Linked DNA regions of Arabidopsis thaliana. The protein of the gene in region 2 interacts with the protein of the main gene of each other region in a pairwise test. Each region holds a gene or a part of one and is shown on either strand. Other genes may lie near its edges.

What was found.
Region 1: the proteins of AT5G05190 (region 2) and AT4G15730 interact in a two-hybrid assay, tested with the Arabidopsis thaliana proteins (one large-scale study listed by BioGRID).

Annotation. Positions count from the first base shown.
Region 1 is NC_003075.7:8,955,948-8,959,704, forward strand, and holds the start of AT4G15730 (CW-type Zinc Finger), read right to left. Parts: upstream 1,719-3,757; 5' UTR 1,268-1,718; coding exon 1,178-1,267; intron 719-1,177; coding exon 649-718; intron 571-648; coding exon 443-570; intron 277-442; coding exon 1-276.
Region 2 is NC_003076.8:1,539,410-1,543,166, reverse strand, and holds the start of AT5G05190 (hypothetical protein (DUF3133)), read right to left. Parts: upstream 1,950-3,757; 5' UTR 1,315-1,949; coding exon 1,194-1,314; intron 1,019-1,193; coding exon 1-1,018. UniProt on the Arabidopsis thaliana protein: Plays a negative role in salicylic acid (SA)-mediated resistance to powdery mildew (e.g. Golovinomyces cichoracearum). May modulate plant immunity by regulating the relocation of EDR1 by interacting with CHC2 and modulating endocytosis.

The sequences.
Region 1 (3,757 bases), on a different chromosome or scaffold from region 2:
TCGGGGTGGTGAATTTGGAGAACCATCGAGACCAAGATCCTTGCAAACCATCGCGACACTTTGGGACAAGATTTCAGAACCCATTTTGATCCGAACTCTGATCGGCTTATTATGAGGCAAATCATTGGCTGGTGTTCTTGCATTTCCTTTATTTATGGGAACTTTTCCTGGAGCTTGAGCCAAAAGAGATCCTGAAGTTTGATAGTTCTGAGGATCCTGATTTCTTACTAGTTTACAAGATGTAGCAGGGGGTGACTGAAACTTCTGAACCACATTCTGCGCAAACAATAATTCATAAGTACTCATAATTAAACTACTTAAAACACTGAGGAAGAAAAATCACTAAAAGGTCCAGATTCCTTCAAACAAAAACAACAAGGTAGTTTCACTACCATATTTTCCTTTTATCCTCACATGGAATTGAGAATTGTTTCTCTCATACCTTCCCGGGTAAACTGTTGGAAATTCTTTGTACAGCATGATTCCCTAGAGAACTCCTTTGACATGATGGTACAGCCGGCAAACGTTTGTAAGTGGGCAAAAATGATCCATAGTCAAAGATCTCCGGACCTGACCAACCATATCATTCAACAACGACATTTCATTTCAAAACAAATATCTCACTAACACCAATTTAATATTACTTACCAAACCGGTCCCGGGCTTCCTCTCCGAAACCTTTTTGCAAGTGGCCAAGTACATTCTGTACCTTCTTGTCCTTAGATACACAAAGCAACAAAACTTGAGCACATATATAATAAAACCACCAGGCAAAGAAAAAGACTTCGACACACAAAGATACAAAAACAGAGAAAAAATGAGTATCCACACTATATATTCTTTATTGAGATACATAAAATTGAGATTTCATATGCTACAAAAGACAGACACATAGTTCTCTGTTTAAAACTCAAAACTCAGTAGAAACAAGCAAGATTCATAGCAATTGAAATATCTTATTAAAGGTATATCTCCTCCAACTAAACTAAGATGCACAAAACTTAATCATCATTGGCATTATAAACACAGAGTACTGTACTATTCATATGATCTTAACACTTCCAAAACATAATCAGAAATTAAGCATCACACAAAGATCAACAACGGCTTCACATAACACCACACAAAAAAGATCATTTAATAATGAGAAAAAAAATCACAAACAAGAGAGACTCACAATGTAAGAGAGATCAACGTCAAGATCAACAACAGCTTCATCAGAAGAACAATTCATCTCTCCTTCTTCAAGCTCATAATCCTCTCCCATCTTCTAAACTAGTAAAACCCTAAACATAACCCAATTCCAAACCCTAATAACTACTACTACTTCCTAAACCCCAACACTCACTAACTCTGCCGCCACCAAACCGTCTCGAAAATCCAACATTGCCCAAAACAATCTCAAAACACACAAAGTTTCAAATCATAAACACTTAGATTATCCCCAAAAACCCTAAATTTGTTCAATCTCCAAAGGACAATCTAGATTGTTGTTAAAACGCGAAATTAATCGCTTAATCACGTTTATCAAAAACTCAACCAAACTCGTTTGATCAAAAGACGAGAAAGTTGAAAAGGAAGATTCGATCACTGTGATCGTCTCAACGGCGGCGAAGAGCAGCGTTGAGGGTTTAAGGAAGATTCGGCGGCAAGTTGGTTTTGCGTCTCCGATTTTTTTTGCAGACAAGACGCTATGTGTTGAAGAGTGTTTAGTTTTGGAGGGTTCCTTTCGTTTATGGTTTAATCATTAATTAATTAATTATAAACAACTTTAATTTTTCTATAATTCGTATCTCTCATTTATTAATGCTTGAGAAATAATTTACATTTTGCCCCTTATATTTCTTAGATTTTATCGGATATTGCTTAACAGTTTAGAAATGAGAGATACGAATTCATGACAATAACGAATTGTGGATTTTGTTCCTAAGTTCGCTAAATAGGTTGCATGATACCACACTTTAATTATTATGTATATATTTATGTATTTAATAAAATATAACTTGTTATATGTATTACTCTAAACACTATCTAATCTATATATACATTTTTGTAGTCATTTTATGAAATAAATCCTGCAATTGGAACTTATTTACAATGGCTGCCACTGACTTATTAAATGCAAAAATTAACTACCAAATCAAAGCAAATCTTATTCAAAAGAATATGCTTTTATTTCATGGCCTAATTATTTTTGCCAAAATGGTTAAAATATTTAAAAATTAAATAACCATTTGAAAGAAAACTTTAAATTGATTTAAATTATAAATCTTTTAATAAAAATATTATTAAAAAAATAGAAAAATAATTTCACCGAACATGATTAGATAGTAGGAATAGATGGTAGGACGTGTTTATAATATTATAATATATAAACTTTATAATAATTAAATAACCATTTGAAAAAAAACTTTTAAATTGATTTGAATTAATATTTTTTAAACTAAAGTATTATTAAAACAAAAATAACAAAATAATGTCTAATTTTACTGAACGGGGTTAGTGGTAGGACGGGTTTGGTCGATAGTATTACGAGACGGTATACCACAAGTGAAATCTATTAGATATGTTTAATTTCAATGTGCAGGATTAGATGGTATGACGAGTTTTGATCGATAATAATACGAAACGATATACTACGGATGAAATCCTAGATATAACAACTAAAATCTATATATACATTATCTTAAACACTAAACAAAGCAAACAATATTAATAAAACAAATATTTACATATACATTTTATATAACAAATTTTATTAAAAACCTAGCCCCGCGGTATACCGCGAGTCAAAATCTAGTTCTATATATACAGTAGTAGGGCACTAATCCGATCTTTAACTCATATACTTATAGTCAATATCACATATACAATTGTTTCTAATAAAACTCTAGCTCGTTGTAGACCATGTCTAAATTGGATAAACAGTTCTATATATGTGTAATCATAAAAAAAAAATTCTAGTTTAAAATGGTTGTATTGTAGTTAAGTGCATTAACTACGTTTACAAATGTCAAAAAGGCTAGTCGTAAGTTGTTACCAAATCCATTTTCGGATTGCAAATTGTGCAGATTGGTTGCATGATACCACTCTTTTTCTTCTACAAATTTAATATAATTTTCATATTCTCTTTTTCTTCTACGAGTTAATATAACTTTCATATTCTCTTTTCTTTCTACGAATTTAATTCTTTGATATTTTATTACTATCTTCATCTAAGATTTTGATCTTGCTTTTTTTTTTCTTTTGCTAAATTTATTTTATTATAATTGATTAAACTTTAATGCATAAGTTTGAACTTTAAATAGTTTTTTCTATAGACTAAACTTTTTTTATTTTCTTCCAATTTCACCTTACTTTTTTGAAACCACAATTAAACCCCAATAATGATTTGTCCGGTTGTCGCTTGTGATAGCAGGGCTGCATGTGAGTGCGAAGTTTCTGCTACAAGCATCAGAGTTTAAAGATTGGTTAGTCTATATATAAATACAGTTGAATATAATTGGTCGGAATTTTATCACTAATGCCACTAACTCAATAAAATTGTTCATTCATACCCTTCCACGTTTTTTATTTTAATTTTAGTTTATTTTAAATCAAAATTTATATGAAAAATCCAAAAACCCTTAACCTAATCCATATATAACGTATGCCTGCCACTTCTTTCTTTGCCAACTTAAAATAAAACACTGCCTCTTTTTTTTCTCTTTCACGTTTCTCCTCTTTATTCTTTTAGACTTTGTCTCTTTTCTCTCAA
Region 2 (3,757 bases):
ATTTGAAGTGAGTGTGCACGGGGATAGCGATCAAACTCATCATGTGACGGATGGGAAGGGCTTCCACGTGTGTATGATTCTCTCGGATAGAAAGGCATGTCAGGCCGAAGTTGTTCTGTCACATGTCTCCTCCCTTGTCTGCCAAGGCGCCCTCCTGGTCCCTCTAGCTGTAGAGACCTGTTCTGATGCCGCTCGTTGTATGTGGTAATCCCATTGCGCCTATTCTCAGAGAAAGGGGAGGAGGAACTAGCGCCTTGCTCCTTATACCCAGGGTATCTATGCATCTCAAATTTGCCTGATCTTATTTTCTGAAGAGCATTCCATTGTTCGTCATCATCGAGAAGTTGGCCTTCCCTTTCGTCAGAGGAAGACTCACTCCCATCATAAGCAGAAGAAGTCTTGTTTGCAGGATAATCAAGTTGGCTTTGCTTCTCTTCAACAGGGGAAGCATCAGGTGAGATCTCAGCATTGCCAGATGAATTACTCGCTCTTGCAGCCACCACATCATAAGCAGAAGGAGTCTTGTTTGCAAGAATGTCAAGTTGGCTTTGCTTCTCTTCTACGGGGGAAGCATCCGGTGAAATCTCAGAGTTACCGGATGGATTACTCGCTCTTGCAGCCACCACATGATCAACGCTCAAGCTTCCAGAGCTAGATCCAGATCCTGCAGCTTCTGCTACGGTGTTCATCATATGAGACTCCAATCTGGAGTTGTCTTCTCTTTCATTCTTCTCAGAATCACCAAGTGAACATTCCTGCTCTTGAATTTCATTTGTCCCATCTCCATTAGATAACTCTAAGTCATCAAGCTCCTTCTCCGTAGACTCCATGGATGCATTCCTACCTTTCTCATACTCTTGGTCCACGGAACGACCTGGAGATGACGGCAGAACCGTGTCCTGCCCCGAGCTGCTGGACACATTGTTGGTTTCAGGTACGCTTTGCGGCTCATTGGCTTGAGCCCTCTCTGTCTCTCCTGCACTTGGTGTACTGCTTGGAGCAATGTTCCGCCTTTTCGCTGAATCAAAGAAGCAACAACCAAATTTAATAATGAAAGAGATCATGCCACAAAACACAACTGGTTTGAGCTCAGACATCCAAACAGATGGACAACCAGGAGTAGAACAAAGCCAGATTCAGGGACAGAGTTCACATTATAATCAGAGGCAAAATCGAAATGGAAAGAAAGTTACCTTGAAGAATGGCGGAACAACCACCGCACTGATAAACAGGAACATCTTCGTCTTCCTGTAGAATCTTCAAGCACTTGGGACACCTCACCAACCGAATTTTCTGACCCGTCTGGCTCGCCATTGTTGGTACCAAATTTCAAAGACTTAACTCTACTTTTGTTATTTTTGGGTTATAACTCTACCTCATTAGTTAGAGAATCATCATCAACAGAACCCAGAACCCTAATAAACAGAGAGAGAGAGAGGAACCAAAGTAAAAGATTGAAACTTTGTGAAGTTCTTTAAAAGAAAATGGGAGAGGAGACCAGAGGAAGAAGGTCAACGCGGTGTGACTTTTAAGGAGGAGAAATGGTATAACCCGGGTCTGGTCTGAGAGCTGGTTACGGATCCGGGTAGAGATGAAAAATGGCGAGAAGGAAAAGATTACATGATTCAAGAAGCCATGAAAATTGTGTAAGATCCTCCACAGAAGAATCAAAGTAAAACTCTTTGCAGAGAGTTATTATAACTCGAGGGATTGTGGAAGAATAAACCCAGAAGTTGAAGATTTTATAGAGAGAGAGAGAAAGAATGAGATAGAAATAGAGAGGAGAATTTCTTGTCGTGGGGGCGAAGTAGAAGAAGAAGAAGAAGAATTGAGAGAACAGAGACAAAAAAACAAAAACAAATCGTTGGACAGACAGTTTTTTTTTTTTTTTTACTATGGTTTCTCTCTTTTCTTGTTTTTTTCCTCTGAGAAAAGTCTCTCTTTTTCCGTGTCTAAAAAGTTTTTTCTTTTTAATATCTCTTTGAGGAATTTTTTGGTATCTTTTTTCATTCTTGCAAGTCAATTAGAACATCAACGACTCGTTCTCTAATCACTATTCTTTCTTAAACAAAACCCAGTCTGTTGTTGATCTTTTCAATAAACAATATTGGCCCAATTTTTTTCTAAAGAAAGCATCTGCAACAGAGCTTTGTTAGAAGAATTAAGTAGAGGAAGATAAGAGAAAGAGTAAATTGGGTTCAGCTAAATAAAAATTTGGATAAAGAGTTATAAATGGAATGGTGTTGTTAATGTCGGCGCCTGTTTCATTTATTTTGGATAGAGAAATTTTAGCCCCACTACTACTTCCATTTTTCTCATTTATTGATCCCAGTCCTTTTTTTCTTACTTTTTACCATTACCTTCTTAAATATTTCCTAACATTCGAAGTTTGAATATTCCGGTAAATGACTAAATGTTGCCAAGGGAAATTAAATTACCGTGAATGTTGAAATGAATTGGGTTCCACATATTTATTTCTAGGACCTGACAAAAAGCATAATGATCATATGTTTTTCGTATATATATTTATATCACTGGTCGAATTTAACGAACTTTTCATTTTTCTAATGAGAATTCACTAGCCGTGTGAGTGTTTTCAATCACTTTTATTTATAACCAGACAAGTTGAGTCTTTGGTTCATAACCTTTTTAGGTATGAAACCAGTTTTCAAATATAGCACCTACAAAGAATTTGAAATTGATAGCAACGTAACAAAATATTAATCTTCAAATTGGTTCATAAAGTTTTAGGGAACTTGTGAGAAATAAATGAATAAAAGTTTTGTAGGGCTATCTCAAGTCAAATAGTATATATTAAGTATTAACGTACATGTATATCACATTATTTTTTAACGATATGAAAAAAAACTAAGGTAATGGTCGACAGACTCGGTCTTTTATCGTTTTGTGCTGTCTAGTTTCTCTACTTTCTAGATTATCGTTTTGGCTTTGTGATTCTGTAAAAGTCAACCTTTGTTGTGGTGTCCTATTTCTTTGTAGACTTAATTAGAGGTTGCTTCAATATTTGTTTTCTCTGCACAATCCAATGACTAACGGGATACGATTCACAAAACGAATCAAATCAAATCAAGTTCAATACCATTCGAGTCTTCTTCTTCACAGATTACAAATTCGATTATGCGTTGACTCTTTAATTGAGTCAATGGTTTGGACCACTACATGGTTTGTAAATGTTTATTTCTATTTCAAATCGCTAGCTGTTACCTAACATTCAGGACATGAACAAAAACTATCTTACTAAAAAAAAGTCAAAATTAAAGTTTCAAATGTATAAAAGATAATATTGGAGGTCAACTCCCATTTGACAACATTCATATATAGTTATAAATTGATTTTGTTTTTCTATTTACTGTGTTCCCATGATGTTTCGTGAACACATGAAGTTATGGTATTGAATAGAATGGATTTTCTTTTAGTTTTTGGTTTATTCTACAGAACAAGCTCTTGAAATAACTAAAAAATTCACTAACTAAAAACTTGTGATATATACCATGCTGGTTATATTCGCACAACGATTGCAATCATAATTGGCTACTATAGACGATTTAATTGATAAGAATATTCAATTATTCTACCTATGCTTTGGAGAGTCTATTTCTTTTTACTTGAAAATTTCCGATTATAAATAAAGATAGACACCTCAAAGCAAAAAACTATTCTTTTACACCTGAAATTCTTTAATACATGTCTTTAATTAATAATAGATTCCATATGAAAGAATTAAAGAAAGAAAAAG